Linked DNA regions of Arabidopsis thaliana. The protein of the gene in region 1 interacts with the protein of each later gene in a pairwise test. Each region holds a gene or a part of one and is shown in the gene's direction. Other genes may lie near its edges. The genes, in order: MBD4, GATA6, AT4G00390 and AT1G61730.

Region 1 (3,785 bases):
CGAAAGAGAAGAAAAGTAAAGAAGAGACAAAAGCATTGAACAACGATGCTTTTGTCTTTATTAGCCTATTAACCTAAACCCCTAGAGATTCAGACACGAACCTTATTCATCTCGAATATCTCAAACCCTAAAGACCATTAAACATCATCGCTCTCTTATCACTTTCGCATTCATCATCAACTCGTCATCATATGTATGTTTTCATTCACATGGAGTTAGTCCAGAATAATAGACTGCATGCCGTTTAACGGTCTAAACAAAGACAACTTGTAGTAACGTGTTTTCTTACAAAATGACATAGCAAAATTAGCATGCATGGCTCAGGAGTTATCACATATCGTTAAAACATTTTGGGTTTGCTTTTAGCGATTGCCATTTGTCGAGTGTCTCAAAAGATTCTTGTGGCCCGTATAATGGGCTTTAGAATATCGTTCTATAAGCCCATCAAATTAATGAACTGAGTATTATTTCCGGGAAAGAAATAACGTTTTATGCAATTACGACCCAATTAACTTTATAGTTTTTTAAAACTGATGGGGAATGACCCAATTCAATGTTTTCACCCTCTCAATTGCAGCCATTAGTTAATACTGTAGTAATGTTTAGAAACTAGTTTCAAAATTTTCGTAGAAAAATTCATGTAATATTTTTAAAAATCATTCGATGTGCTGCATGCGTATTTCCCAAAAATTAAAGTTAATATGATTTAAGATTTTGTTCACAATTACTGCCACCAGAAAAAGGACGGTGAGATTAATATTTTACAGGTGAAAAGATTTTTCCAAGACAAGGTTTAATTTGACCATGCGGACCAATTTACTTACAAGGTGTCATGGTTTACAAAAGCCCGTTAAATGAGTAAATCCTGATCTGTTTGCCACGCTGGCAAAACCTCTCGCAGAGGCCCCACCAAATACTATAAATCATTAAATCTCGTTTAAGGCCCAAAAAATGATGCAGAGTTGCGATCGTAGAGAGTAGAGAACAGGGAAGGACGAGCGGTTATGTTAATCATGACGTCATCCTCTACGATTCTCACCGGAGATATAGATGAAGAACACCGCACGTCGTCAATGGCAGAGGAAGACACGCCTACGCATTCCCATCGACGGCGCTGGAGCACTCCTGTTGATTCCGGCGGCGAACCTCTTCAAAGCTTATCCGTGAGCAGATCTCTAGAGATAAAATCAGACCACGAGAATCCCGACGACGAGTGCAGGGAACATAGAGGTGTGTGTGGAGTTATTCTTGACGAATATTTCTCGTGTTCTTCGAAAAATAACAGTTACAGTTTCTATCTAGGAGGGAAGATATCGCCGTGGGGACCGTATGGACCGCCGCTGCTGACGGAGTCGAGATCAAAGGCGCCGTCGCCGCGGAGAGGAAGAAGCGTGACGAGGAAGCGAGATCTGCCACCATTTTTGACGACACTGGATTGTAACGGACGGCCGAGATTTCATCACAGGAGAGTGAGAAGCGAAGGACGGTTAGAGATTGCCAGCGTGGCAGTAGATTCACCGGAGATCGTTAGTGTTCGTGGGAGAGAAGGACTAAGAATCGGAACAGTGAGAATCAGTCAACAAAACGACGTAGTAGAAGATGATAATGAAGATAAACAGAATCACTGATCTTCCTCTTAGAATTTTGATATTTTCAGCTAATTTTCCGGGGGGAAAAAACGACATTGTAGTCCGATGATCCGTTAGAAACAAGATAAGAAAAGGGAATTATGGGCTTTACTTATGAATATTAGGCCCATAATAATATTTTGTTGCAAAACAAACCTGGGCCTGAAGCCCAAATAATTCGCTCAAGCCGACGTGTTAATTTATGATTTGTCCGTCACAGTGATACATTAAAGCACAGGCTGTGCGGTTATCACACTGTTCGCAGGAAGACTTATTTGAGAGAGTTTTACTTTTGGGGGACACAAAGATTTGGAGAAAAAGTTTACTAAAAAAGAATCTGGGGAAGTAAGTGAGATGAAGGAAGAGGAGGAGATCGGAAAACCAGCGAAACCAAAAGCCAAGGTAGTCCCACAATGACTTACATATATTTCGCTTTCCATTTTCTAGGTTCCGTTCTTTGCGTTTTTCTTCTCTTTATTGTGTTAGATGCGAACCTTCTTATAATTCCGGTCAAAGTGCATGCGTTTTTCGTGTTCTTACTGTCTTTGGAGATCTCAGATCCCGTATTAGTAGTTACTATTGATGGAGGAAGTTATACAAGGCATAGAATTCTAGGTTATCAGTTTTGGGGTTCACGATTTTTTGGTGCTTGGAAGTAAATTGTTGGTAGTTAACTTTGAAATCTTTGGTCTTGCAAACTTTGAGTCAGTCTCGTGATGTGTCGTTGCTTTCAGTTATTGCTCTAAGAAAGCCTTGGTTCTTTTCTTTAACGCTTGCTGGAGTAGTGTCGCTCCTTATTCTTGCCTTACATTATATATTTCTTCTACGCTCACAAGTCTTGTGTGGGGTTGTTTCACTGAGACTTAATGGCAGAAAGATGTTGCTCCTGGGAGGTTGATTGATACCTATGCTGCACAGTGCGATAACTGTCACAAGTGGAGGGTGATTGATAGCCAGGAGGAATATGAAGATATCAGAAGTAAAATGCTCGAGGATCCTTTTAACTGTCAGAAGAAACAGGGCATGTCTTGTGAAGAGCCTGCTGATATTGACTACGATTCTTCTCGGACTTGGGTCATTGACAAGCCTGGTCTCCCCAAAACGCCTAAAGGTTTCAAGAGAAGCTTAGTTCTCAGAAAAGATTACTCTAAGATGGATACCTACTACTTTACTCCTACCGGGAAGAAGCTCAGGAGTCGCAATGAAATCGCTGCCTTCGTTGAAGCCAATCCGGAATTCAGGAACGCACCACTTGGAGACTTCAATTTCACTGTCCCCAAGGTCATGGAAGATACTGTTCCCCCTGATCCGAAGCTTGGCTCTCCTTTTCCAAGCACTACTACCACTACTTCAGAGAAGAGCAGTGTCAAGCAGAGCCATAACTAATATGTTCTCTTCTACCTTCTTTCTGCTCCCTAAAGCAATGCGTTTTGAGTCTTTATAGATTTGATGTTCTCTAAAACTGTTATGATATTAACATCTCTAAGCAAAAAAATATGATCTTTTGTCTCTTCTTTAACCGGAACTCAAATGTTAAATATTCTTTTAATTTGGATTCTTACACCAAAGAAACACACTTATTCCTTACAAGTCCCCTCGTAAAACATTAAGTAGAGGCTACAACTCCGGGAATTCTCTCATGGCAAATCCTCATGCACCTTATAGTGAGCGGTTCCTCTTGAAGAATACTGCACGATGTCTCACAGACTTCCTCGTTGGACATGAAGCATCCGGATATGCATTTTTTATAGGCCTCCGGTTCGGTGTAAGACAGGCATTTTCTGTTGCATTTTGTCTGCAAACCCTCATTAGCAACACCTTCTCCTCCTATGACCATCATCTCTGGTTTGGACTTGGTGCGAGGGCAAACGGCCATGCAATGTTGAAAGAGTCCTTCAAAGGGGTTGCAAAATGCCTCACAGAAGGGATTGTGTTCTTCTTCTTGTCGTCCACTTGTCTCTTTCTCTATCTCCATCATCAACAGTTCATTGCACTTATCTTCACACTCTTTCTTCTTGTTGTGGATATCATGTTTACAGTTGTGCTTGCACTGTTCCACCACCAAATCTTCTACTGCACTTGACACTGTTGCACTTTCCAACACCAGAATAGCCCAAATCAGTGAGATGACTACTACCTTTGCTTTTGTTGGTATCA
Region 2 (4,274 bases), 4.3 Mb from region 1:
TCAATGGTATTGGTGCTGCAATCTACCAGAAACCTGCCACCAATGAATGTTACGAGAAAAGAAAGCACAACAAGCCTCCACTGTGCAAAAACAACGACGATGCAAATGCAGCCTGGTATGATTGTTTCCACAATTTGCATAGGGAATGAATAACCATAAGGTTTTAACAGAACAAAGAAAGTCAAAACTTGAATGGAAATTTCAGGTATGTACCCCTACAAGCATGTATGCATAAAGTTCCTACCAATGTGGTCGAGAGAGGAAGCAAGTGGCCCGTGAATTGGCCCCGTCGGCTTCAAACACCGCCTTACTGGTTAAACAGCTCTCAAATGGGGATATATGGGAAACCAGCTCCTCGAGATTTCACTACAGATTATGAACACTGGAAACATGTTGTAAGCAAAGTATACATGAATGAAATAGGAATCAGCTGGTCAAATGTGAGGAATGTAATGGACATGCGAGCTGTCTACGGAGGGTGAGCATCAACGAAAACAAATCAAACTAAAATCTCACTTACCAAAACTAAACCTTTTTTTACTAACTACGTAAAAATGCAGGTTTGCAGCAGCTCTGAAGGACCTACAGGTGTGGGTAATGAATGTAGTAAACATAAATTCACCAGATACACTACCGATAATCTACGAGAGAGGCCTATTCGGAATATATCATGACTGGTGTGAATCATTTAGCACATACCCTCGAAGCTATGATCTCTTACATGCAGATCATCTTTTCTCAAAGTTGAGAACAAGGTATAAGCGTAACTCATAATATCCACACCTTTTGGTAACGTTTCATCAACAATAAGTCTCTTGTTTTGTTTTGTTTTGAAAGGTGCAATCTTGTTCCAGTAATGGCAGAAGTGGATAGAATAGTAAGACCAGGAGGTAAACTAATAGTTCGTGACGAATCAAATGTGATAAGAGAAGTTGAGAACATGTTGAAGTCACTGCACTGGGATGTTCACTTAACTTTCTCCAAACACCAAGAAGGAATCTTAAGTGCACAAAAAGGATTCTGGAGACCAGAAACTTCTCAATGAAAGACGCTCTGAGAATCTGCATTTGAAAGTAGCAGAAGCATCATTATAATACAACACACTACTCATATCTATAATCCCCAAAAGAATTTGTCAGTATAAGAAATAGCTTTAGTCTTCTTAAACTATATAGACTAATTAGAACATTTTTGTTTTCCTTACTTCATATTGCTTTTTTTAACATGGTTATGATATTCTCTTGTAAGGCTATGAATCATTTCACTGGGAAAAGTAAGGCACACCAATAAATGAAATTTTGTTCCAACAAGTAGAAACATAGCAGTAATGAAGAAGAGATTATGATGCTTTAGCGATACCACAAGCCAAATTCACCATAAGCTATTGACAGGTAGCGAAAAGTCAAATTACAAAAGGAATAAAGTAGACATGAAATGAAACCAACAATCTTAAGCCCACATATGAATTCAAAAGAGAGGTTAAGAAAGAAGAGAATCTGACATCATGGGCAGAGTAGGAGCTGAAGAAGATGGGTTTCTGCAAATTTGAAGCTTTTAATCGCATATCGCTGAGTAATCATCACAAACAGTTTTGAATTGAAGAAGACGGGAGGAGAAAAGCCATTGTTAATGAGATACCCAAATCGTAAAATTTCAGAAAGCCCAGCCCAACATAGCCCAATACAGCCCAAATATGTATGTGATTGGGTAACGAAAACGAGACCGTTCTTTTTTCAGTCATCTCTCGTTTCACAGTAGCGCGTATGTACGCTTTGAATTTACAAAAAGTAGACATTTTTATGAATTTTTGCCGGTTGAGTAAAAAGGTAAAAAAAAATAGTTCCCACCAAAGCAAAATATTTCAATTTTTATCTTTTTTTTTTGGTTCTTGGGAAAATAAGAGATTGAGAAAGAATAAAGAAGAGAAACTCACAACTTTTTTAGTTTTAGGAGAAGAGGGCTTTGGTCTGGAGTCACTATCATATTCAATGCTTTACCAAACTCACCTCTTCTTCTAAATTCTCACCACTCTTCTTCTTCTTCTCATTCACCGACATATCTCCTCTCTTCACTCTCTGTCTCTTCTCATCTCAGGTAATTCCAATTTTAGTTTTTTTTGAAGGTTACTTACTCGTCACATTGTTTGAAAAAGATTGAATTTTTATCTGTGGCTTAGTCAAATCATGGTTCGTTTCACCAAGTTGTGGTTCTGGGTTTTCGTGATTTTTCTTTTGGGTTTTTCTGTTTGAATTTGGAAAAATAAAGGAACGTTTTTTTTTTCGGGGGGAGTTTTTTTTTTAAAGATAATTTTTGGAGAGTTTTTGATAATTCTGAGGAAGCCAAAAGAAAAGAAGAAAACCTAATTTGTGTTGGTGGGGTTTGATAGGAAATAATGGAGAGTGTTGAATTGACGTTGAAGAACAGTAACATGAAAGACAAAACCCTAACCGGCGGCGCTCAAAATGGCGATGATTTCTCCGTCGACGACTTGCTTGACTTCTCAAAAGAAGAAGAAGACGACGACGTTTTGGTTGAGGATGAGGCTGAATTGAAAGTACAACGAAAAAGAGGAGTCTCTGACGAAAATACCCTTCACCGGAGCAACGATTTCTCCACCGCTGATTTCCACACTAGCGGGCTTTCCGTTCCGGTATGAATTTGTGTTTTCATTTTCGCAAAATTTATAAAAATTATCAGTCATTGCATTGTTAATTTCTTGCTTTTCATGTTTTGATTGTTAGATGGATGATATAGCGGAACTTGAATGGTTATCAAATTTCGTAGATGATTCTTCTTTCACGCCGTATTCTGCTCCGACGAATAAACCGGTTTGGTTAACCGGAAATCGGAGACATCTTGTACAACCGGTTAAAGAGGAGACCTGCTTCAAATCCCAACATCCGGCCGTCAAAACCAGACCCAAACGAGCCAGAACCGGAGTCAGAGTCTGGTCTCATGGTTCGCAGTCGTTAACCGACTCATCTTCAAGCTCTACAACATCTTCGTCGTCCTCTCCTCGTCCTTCAAGCCCTCTATGGCTCGCCAGCGGTCAGTTTCTTGATGAGCCAATGACTAAAACACAAAAGAAGAAGAAAGTTTGGAAAAACGCTGGTCAGACGCAAACGCAAACGCAGACGCAGACGCGGCAGTGTGGTCATTGTGGAGTTCAGAAAACGCCGCAGTGGAGAGCAGGACCATTAGGAGCGAAGACGTTGTGTAATGCGTGTGGTGTGCGTTACAAATCGGGTCGGTTACTACCCGAATATAGACCCGCTTGTAGCCCAACATTTTCGAGTGAGCTTCACTCAAACCACCACAGTAAAGTCATTGAGATGCGTAGGAAGAAAGAGACTTCTGACGGTGCTGAAGAAACCGGTTTGAACCAGCCGGTTCAGACGGTTCAGGTTGTCTCGAGTTTTTGAAGAAATTGTGGAAGGTTTTTAAAGGAGCAGAATTAGGATCCGACCCGGTTCAGATTTATCACCAGTTAGTATGTTAACGGGTTATGTATGTTTTAAATTACAAATTTGATTTTTTGTTTGTTAGTCGTAGTAGGTTTTTAGATTTAGTAACTGGTTAAAACTTTTAAAACTCTTACTATTATATTTGTTTTGTTTCGCATTAATTTTCAGAATTCTTTTTTTCTTAACCTCCTCTAACGTTATATTTACGTTATAATATATAGTTTTTATATTAATTGATAGAGATGGTTCATTTTCTAGTTAGAATGTATGCTCAATAATTATTGGTAGACTGATAGTTATCAAGTGTATAAAATATGAGATCAATTTATACCAAATTAGGAGTAGGCTTTATTTCAGGGTTAGTAACTCCAATTTTTTGTTGTTACTTATTTATATCCATCACATTTTCTCTTGTATTTCTAAAATTGACATAATATAACTGAAAAAAAAAACAAATTTCACAAATAAAAATATATACAATAACTGAAAAAAGAAAAATAAACGTACTGGGCACACTCTCTTATTGACTAATTTATTACTCTGCGTATTTTTGGAGATTGAATACGACCTTAGTTGACGTGATAATATTATCCATTTTTGCAATGTGATAATATTCGTTGACCATATCTTTGAGATTATCACGAATTACCAATTTACCTTGGGACTTTATTCCTCGTATGGTTTTAGTTGAGTTGACTATTAATAATAGCTTTTAGTACGTGTTTCGTAAATGCTGCATAATATGTAACTAACTAAACAATTCGAATATATATATACTAGTTTTAACATTCGTCTCACACGCTTAGCTTT
Region 3 (4,123 bases), on another chromosome or scaffold:
GAAATTAAAAATCAATGGAGTTGTTGAGCTAATGATATGTTTTTGGTGTATAACAGGCGACTTGGTGATATGTCCGGAAGGCACGACGTGTAGAGAAGAGTATCTACTGAGATTTAGCGCTCTATTCGCAGAGCTAAGCGACCGGATTGTGCCAGTAGCGATGAACTGTAAACAAGGAATGTTCAACGGGACCACAGTTAGGGGTGTGAAGTTTTGGGACCCTTACTTCTTCTTCATGAACCCAAGACCAAGCTATGAAGCCACTTTCTTGGATCGTTTGCCTGAAGAAATGACTGTCAACGGTGGTGGCAAGACTCCTATAGAGGTGGCTAATTACGTCCAGAAAGTTATCGGCGCGGTTTTGGGCTTCGAATGCACCGAACTTACTCGCAAGGATAAATATCTTTTGCTTGGAGGTAATGACGGCAAGGTGGAGTCTATCAACAACACCAAGAAGTGAATATCTTATTCTTGTTATAACTTGGCATTGACTTATTGCAAGTAAGGTTGGATCATATACGAATTTTCATGTGTGTAATTGCTTGAGCTCTTGTCATCATTATGGTACGTTATTGTTATGTTTATTCTATTTTGTTCTTAATGTCGAACGGGTAACTATATCCTTAAAAACTATTTTGTGATCCCGTTTCTATACGGATGTGTATAGAGACTTTCTATTTAAAGTGCAAAATTTTATTGGAGGAAGTAAATTTTGGATCATGCAAATGTAAATACATACGACGTATATATGTTTGAATAAAACTATGTTTCGGTGGAATTGTGAATGATTAATTATGGTTTTTTTTTGTTGCAAAAGTAGCAATTTTTTGAAAAAAATAATTAAATTTTTAACAAACTAAATAAGATCATTGTTAACTATACGCTTTTATAAAAAATCTCTTGACAAAAAAACAAAAAAACTTTTTATTACACTGTCATAATTTCTTTTATTTTTAGAGAAATTAGATTCGTTTTACCGAATTGAAAAATGGTGATATCAATATGAGAGTGTAGCAGACGAGAGATCATGAATTTTGAGTTCCAACGTAGAAATGTCTACATTATCATCATGAGAGTGTTGGCGGACAAGAGATCATGAATTTTGAGTTCCAATGTAAAAATGTCTACATTATCATCATTTAAGTAACAGACGAAAACTTGGGATTTGATGTATTATATTATTGGTGCCAATTCATTAAAAAGAAACTCATATTCCTGTATTTTTTGGGATGATTTTATAAACATTGGCAGTAAGAAATGAATATATTTCTGTATATAGATATTTCTGTATATATACAATTAACAGAAAAATGAAATGAAAGCAAAAAAATCATTACAGTGCGAAAATATGTGAAGCAAAAATGTGAAATTATACTTATTATGATTTGTCATTAATGTCATGATCTAAACCTAAATTATTCTTTCATTACAATTTCTATATTAGTTTTTAGTGGGCTTTAATTATACATAATATTAAACTCCTTCACCAAATATTTGTTAATGAGAATGAGATCCATGAGAATGAGATCTTATTATGATTTGTATGAGAATGAGATCCATGGGAACATTAGGCAAATCAAAGATTTGTATATAATAAGCAAAAATGTGAAATTGTACTTATTATGATTAGTCATTAATGTCATGACCTAAACCTAAATTACTCTTTCATTACAATTTCTAACATTAGACAAATCAAAAATTTTTATATAATAAGATTATAAAACTTAACAAATAATATTCTTTGAGATTTAGAATCTTAATTTAATGACAATATTAATTGTTTAACTCATAGAACAATGGAATTTTAACGGGAACTGCTACATTGGAAATATGAAACGATTTGAATAAGGAAAGCAAATTTCGCAATTATTGTTTGAGAATATCGAAATTGATTATAAATATTCCTTTTCACTTATCATCGTTTCGTCACAAACCCTAAGAAGCTTCTCATCTTCCTCACAAACCCTAAGAAGCTTCTCATCTTCTCTTTCTCTCGAAAATTCCGATTTGCTCTTTTGAAACTTCCGATGACGAAGAAACTCGATCCACCAACGGCACCTTCAAGCGACGAAGATGACGTCGAGACTTCCGAAGATGATTCCTCTTCATCTGAAGAAGACGAACCAATCAAATCCCTTCCCGCCACAACCGCCGCTGCTCCTGCTAAATCCACCGCCGTCTCCGCCGCTACTCCAGCTAAATCCACCTCCGTCTCCGCCGCTGCTCCTTCTAAATCCACCGCCGTCTCCGCCGCTGCTGATTCCGATTCTGGTTCGGAGAGTGAAACAGATTCGGATTCTGAATCGACGGATCCTCCGAAATCTGGATCCGGTAAAACAATCGCTTCAAAGAAGAAAGATGATCCGTCGTCGTCGACTGCTACTTTAGCTTTACCGGCGGTGAAATCTGGAGCAAAGAGGGCAGCGAGTGAAGCTGCGACGACTTCAACGAAACGAGTCAAGAAAGATGAAGAGAGTGTAAAGAAGCCAGCACTTTTTCAAAGACTATGGAGTGACGATGACGAAATCTCTATGTTACAAGGAATGATAGATTATCATGCTGATACAGGGAAGTCTCCTTCCGCAGATACTAATGCGTTTTACGAGTTCCAGAAGAAATCTATCAGCTTTGAGGTTAGTAAGAGTCAATTCTCGGATAAGGTTAGGAGTTTAAGGAAGAAGTACCGTGCTAAAGAAGGAAAGGACGAACCTAGGTTTGTGAAAGCTCATGATAAGAAAGCTTTTGAATTGTCAAAGTTTATTTGGGGACCTAAAGGAATAGCTCTTGATTCTAATGCTAAGTCCAACGGTGTGTCGAAAAAGAGTGCGAGTAAGACGAAGGAGAAGCTTGATTCTGTAAAGCAAGACTTGGCGTTTGTTGGTGTTTCTTCAACTAATGGAGATGATTGGTTTGAGAAGTCGTCTCTTGCTAGGATGATTGCTGGTTCGGGTATTGATGAGTATTATGTGAGGCAGAAATGGAGTTCGTTTACTCTTGAGACTAAGAAGATTGTTGAAGAGAAGTTTCAGTTGATGCAAGCTAAAGAGCTTGAGGCTATGTTGGATAAGAGTGTGCGTTTGACTGACCTTACGTCTTACTTCGTTGATGCTTCGAAGAACTAGAGCTACTAGTTACTTAGATTTGTCGGTTTTTTGTATCGTAATGCTATGCATAATGCTTTCTTTTGTTTTTCGGATTTAGGATTTGATTCTTTCTGGTTTGTTTTTTTGGGGTTGAAAGATTCTCTACGTTATAATATTTATTTTTTTATTCGTCAACTTGTCCTTATTATACCTCATCTTTGTCTTTTAGAAGTTCTTGTACCAACTCCAAGAACGAATCTATGTTCCTGACAAAACCGCCTTGTACCATTGTTAGGTAAAGCTTCCCAACCATAAGCATCTGCACTTTGTAACTTGATTGTGTTCTGTGAGAGTTGGAGTTTGAAAATGATGAGTAAACTGTTACATTGAGAAAACAACTCTTACCAAATGAAGATTTTCTCTTCATAAGTTATTTCCAAAATCAGACATTTAGCAAGTTATACCTACTTTGCATCCAAGTCTGTTGGTCACAAAACAAGACCATAGCAATGCAAATATAGCTTGGTTACAAAAAATTTAGTCACATTGCTTCAGGATGATTTAACTATATAAACAACACAGTTTTTGTGTCTGGTATAGAAGATAACACTGTTTTGTTCAAAGCTTTTGACTTATGAACTACAAAAACTAAAGCTTTGTTACTACTATTAAGATACTGCCTAACTCGTCCAAAATAAGCCAAGAAGAAACCTTAATAAAAAGATTATTGACTATGTTACATGCCAAAATAATCTTAACACAAACTTGTTTGATCATCATTTTAGGTGGCTTTTAACAAGAACTTAAAACAAAAAGCATAAACCAAGATTACAATAATTACAGATTCGAATTCTTTCAAATCAAAAGGTTTAAGAAATTAGTCTCCATAGAGAGCATACGAGCATCCTAATAATTTTATTAGACAAAAAGCTTAACCATTTAATATTCTTCTTCTTCTTCCTGCTTCTCCAATCCTGCAACCAAAAGTAGAAGACCATTGGATTCTTCAGTTCAAATCAAAATGGCGCAAGACCAAAGCC
Region 4 (4,081 bases), on another chromosome or scaffold:
TCAAGTTCTTGGCTCCATCAGAAAATAATATGTTTTTGATATATCTCAAGTTAAAAGACTTGTTATTTCATGGTTCTGTTTTCATCAACAATATATGAAAAAAAAAACAATGTCTATGATTCAACACATGTTGCTAGGCATATAACATACTGGAACCACAAGTATATATGCAATTATTTGTTTTTGTGTCTTCCCTCGTGGGACTAAAAGGTGGTTCAAAAGGTTATAACCGAGCATGGAAGAGCTTCGATTATTATGTTCTTGGTTGGTATTGTCATGGTATTGAACAGTGTTGATGACTAGCTATGGATATATGTTTGGAATGATTTGTCTCTGTAGTTACATGACTTTCAAATTACCACAGAAATAAAGTTTTGGTTTCTTTGCTAAATAGTTCAAAATAGATGTGTATAACCATATCATCATATTCTTTTGGTTGTTCCTTCATCCATTTGGTTATTAGTCCATAATGCCATGTCATCATTAAACTTATAACATTATTCTTGAAATTGCTATTGTCACTTTACGCAGGAAATAATCGATCAAATCTTTACTTGTTGTCACATGCACTCAATAATACACGGAATCAGAAACAGAAACAGAGCAAAACAGAGGAAAAAGACGATCTTAAGTAGTTCGAGCTCACATAGTGAATAATACGTCTAAGCTTGATTCTCTACAAAATTCACTCTCATCTTTAATGGTTACATTAAAAATAAGACCCCAACTCTCTCAAAATCCGAGAAAAGATTACAAGAATGATCAACAGCAAAAACGTTAACACCTTGAGCTTGAACCGGCTTTCAACTGACATCAAACCAACAACCATGTTGCTTGATTGTTGAGTAGTTGGTTAAGCCAGAGACTCATGATCACTAAGAAACCTAATCTCTACATGGAACAGAGTTGGCTCTAAGACACACCGCTAGAGCCAACTTCGTTCCATGAATGTCTTAGGTGCCTTAGTTAACCTCTAAGGTAGCCATCGAGTGTCGATTTAGTAGGAAAAAAAAAATCAGGTTAAAGCCATGAACATCAATAGAAGACTTAGAATCTTGGAAAATCGTAGACGATCTTGTCAACGTTTTCACATGATCTTAAGAATTCTATTGAGTTCGTGGCTATAATCCCAACCAAATTTCATCACTGGAAGTAAAAAGTCATAACTCTGCCACAAGGAGATGTTTAGGGTTCCGATGGATTTGTTTAAGAGGTTGTCTCTGTATGTACTTCCTCTAAAGTATTACTCTTAGATCGAAAATACAAGAGGAACCAAAATCAAAAGCAAAAAGAAACGTATAATTAAGAATGGTGGTAAGTAATGTGGGTAGACTTATCATCTTTCGTTCCTTTATATAATGTTTCACCATGCTCATTTAATAATAATCTAACCATATTTTCATCAACAAGGCCCATCATGCCTTGTACCATATTTTCTTCAACGACACATGATGTTATGTTTTCTATTTTGTGAGCTGATTGTATCTGGGTCAAAATGGTCTCTGGGCCTAGTAATGGGCTCTACACAATTGGATTTACACCTCATTTAACAGAAGAACAGAAGTTAAGCATGTACAAGCCTGAAAGCCCATACTTCAGTTTGATACTGAAAAGAGAAATTTAGGCCAAGATTTTAGGAGATTTTAGATTTCAGATTTTGGTTTTTGTAAATAACATGAGATTTTTGGATCTTGTTAAGAAATTAGTAAAAACTCTTAGAATTAGATTCCCTAATTTATATAGGGAATCAACTTTCCTCAAAATCTTGAATGGTTTAAAAAATGGATTTTTGGAAAAAGCTAAAAGCAAAAACCATAGCCTTGGCTTAGGCCTTTTTTTTTTGGTTATACATAAGAAAAATAGAGAAAATATTTACCAAAGCAAATAATAAAAATCCTAAATTACTTTGACCAAAAGAAAGAGATAAAATATTACCAAAGCAAAAGTAATAAAAATACTAAATTACTTTGACCAACAGAAAAAGAGAAAAAAATAATTAATTCCCTATATTAAAAACCCTAAAATATCTATTGGAAGACAGCAACCACTTTAAACTAAAGTTAACACCTTTATATTCCCAAACACTTTTGCCGTCCTCTCCTCACAAACCCTAAAAAGCTTCTCTCTTCTCTTCTGCTTGAAGGATTCCGATTTGCCTCCTTGAAAATTTCCAATGACGAAGAAACTCAATCCACTGGAAGATCCACCAACGGCAACTTCAAGCGACGAAGATGACGTCGAGACTTCCGAAGCTGGTGAAGCTTCAGACGATTCCTCTTCATCTGAAGAAGACGTACCAATCAAAATTCGAATCAAATCCCCTTCCGCCACAACCGCCGCCGCTCCTCCAGCTAAATCCACCGCCGTCTCCACCGCCGCTGATTCAGATTCTGGATCCGAGACTGAAACAGATTCGGATTCTGAATCAACAAATCCACCGAATTCTGGATCTGGGAAGACAATCGCTTTAAACACAGTGAATCTAAAGAAGAAAGAGGATCCAACGTCGTCGTCAGCTACTTTAGCTTTACCGGCGATGAAATCAGGAACAAAACGGCCAGCGAGTGAAGCTGCTGCTACGACTTCAACGAAACGAGTGAAGAAAGATGAAGAGAGTGTGAAGAAACCAGGAGGTTTTCAAAGACTATGGAGTGAAGAAGACGAAATCTTAGTGTTACAAGGAATGATTGATTTCAAAGCTGATACAGGGAAGTCTCCTTATGTAGATACTAATGCGTTTTACGATTTCTTGAAGAAATCGATTAGCTTTGAGGTTAGTAAGAATCAATTCATGGATAAGATTAGGAGTTTAAGGAAGAAGTATATTGGTAAAGAAGGAAGGAACGAACCTAGTTTTGTGAAAGCTCATGATAAGAAAGCTTTTGAATTGTCTAAGTTTATTTGGGGACCTAAAGGAATAGCTCTTGATTCTAATGTTAAGTCGAACGGTGTATCGAAAAAGAGTGTGGCGAAGAAGAAGATTGATTCTGTTAAGCAAGAGTTGGTGTTTGCCGGTGGTTCTTCAACTAATGGTAAAAAAGTTGAAGAAGATGGTGGTGATGATGGATGTGATTGGTTTGATAACTCGTCTCTTGTTAGGATGATTGCTAGTTTGGGTGTTGATGAGTATTATGTGAAGCAGCAATGGAGTTTGGTTTCGGTTGAGAGTAAGAAGATTGTTGAAGAGAAGTATAAGTTGTTGCAAGCTAAGGAGTTGGAATTTGTGTTGGAGAAGACTAAGTTTTTGAATGAGGTTGCTTCTATGTTCGTTGAAGCTTCTAAGAACAAGCCATTAGATACATAGATTTATCGGTTTTTTAAAATCGGAATGCTATTGCCAATGCCTTCTTTTGTTTTCGATTTAGGATTTACCCTCTCTTTTTTTTGTCTTCTTCACTTTTTATCTTTCAATGTAACTTTCTGGTTATTTTATCTTTGTTAAACTCTGTTATGGATTTGTAGCTTAAATATGATAAAATTGCTTAAGGCCAGATTCTGTGAAACATGGACAAGAACAGAGCAAGTTATGTTGAATTGACTCGTGTAATTCGTGAAACAGAACATAGCAAGTCCAAGTTGTGTTAAAAACTGCAGAGAATTTGACAGATTGGTGGAAGTAAAAAGCATTCTTTTGCAACTCATTTTAAGATCGGCAAAGAAAAAATTGAAGTAACAGAACCTTACTGTAACACTATTCGTTACTCTAAAGCTGTGTTATATTGTTTAGAGACAGAAATAATCAAACTCTTGTGATAATTTGGTAGATGATAACAAATCAGAACTCTGAAGGTCAATCTTTTTTGATTCTTAGGTGAAGACAAGTTGGTTATTTCAAAGATCACGTGCTTACCTTCTAAAACAGCCTTATTGATCTACTGTTGTACCTAATGAGCAAGGACTATTTGCAAATCTTTTTACTTCTTATATAGAAGTCTCAAGACGATAAACTCATAACAACTAAATCTCTATCTCTGTAATTTCAAAAGTACAATCATGGACCAGACTCTTACACACACCGGATCGAAGAAGGCTTGTGTCATTGGTGGCACGGGAAACTTAGCCTCTATTCTCATCAAGCATT

The links.
Region 2: the proteins of MBD4 (region 1) and GATA6 interact in a two-hybrid assay, tested with the Arabidopsis thaliana proteins (one large-scale study listed by BioGRID).
Region 3: the proteins of MBD4 (region 1) and AT4G00390 interact in a two-hybrid assay, tested with the Arabidopsis thaliana proteins (one large-scale study listed by BioGRID).
Region 4: the proteins of MBD4 (region 1) and AT1G61730 interact in a two-hybrid assay, tested with the Arabidopsis thaliana proteins (one large-scale study listed by BioGRID).

The regions. Positions count from the first base shown.
Region 1 is NC_003074.8:23,293,412-23,297,196, forward strand, and holds MBD4 (methyl-CPG-binding domain 4), read left to right. Parts: upstream 1-1,873; 5' UTR 1,874-1,982; coding exon 1,983-2,030; intron 2,031-2,501; coding exon 2,502-3,014; 3' UTR 3,015-3,215; downstream 3,216-3,785. Other genes in the region: AT3G63020 (hypothetical protein (DUF3049)), read left to right, coding at 1,014-1,628; AT3G63040 (uncharacterized protein), read right to left, coding at 3,235-3,785. UniProt on the Arabidopsis thaliana protein: Transcriptional regulator that binds CpG, CpNpN and CpNpG (N is A, T, or C) islands in promoters regardless the DNA methylation status. Plays probably a role in gene silencing.
Region 2 is NC_003074.8:18,971,247-18,975,520, forward strand, and holds GATA6 (GATA transcription factor 6), read left to right. Parts: upstream 1-1,879; 5' UTR 1,880-2,094; intron 2,095-2,386; 5' UTR 2,387-2,392; coding exon 2,393-2,650; intron 2,651-2,741; coding exon 2,742-3,422; 3' UTR 3,423-3,646; downstream 3,647-4,274. Other genes in the region: AT3G51070 (S-adenosyl-L-methionine-dependent methyltransferases superfamily protein), read left to right, coding at 1-115, 206-478, 561-755, 838-1,045. UniProt on the Arabidopsis thaliana protein: Transcriptional activator that specifically binds 5'-GATA-3' or 5'-GAT-3' motifs within gene promoters. May be involved in the regulation of some light-responsive genes.
Region 3 is NC_003075.7:170,649-174,771, reverse strand, and holds AT4G00390 (DNA-binding storekeeper protein-related transcriptional regulator), read left to right. Parts: upstream 1-1,926; 5' UTR 1,927-2,027; coding exon 2,028-3,122; 3' UTR 3,123-3,285; downstream 3,286-4,123. Other genes in the region: GPAT8 (glycerol-3-phosphate acyltransferase 8), read left to right, coding at 57-460.
Region 4 is NC_003070.9:22,792,670-22,796,750, reverse strand, and holds AT1G61730 (DNA-binding storekeeper protein-related transcriptional regulator), read left to right. Parts: upstream 1-2,036; 5' UTR 2,037-2,173; coding exon 2,174-3,304; 3' UTR 3,305-3,581; downstream 3,582-4,081. Other genes in the region: BAN (NAD(P)-binding Rossmann-fold superfamily protein), read left to right, coding at 3,994-4,081.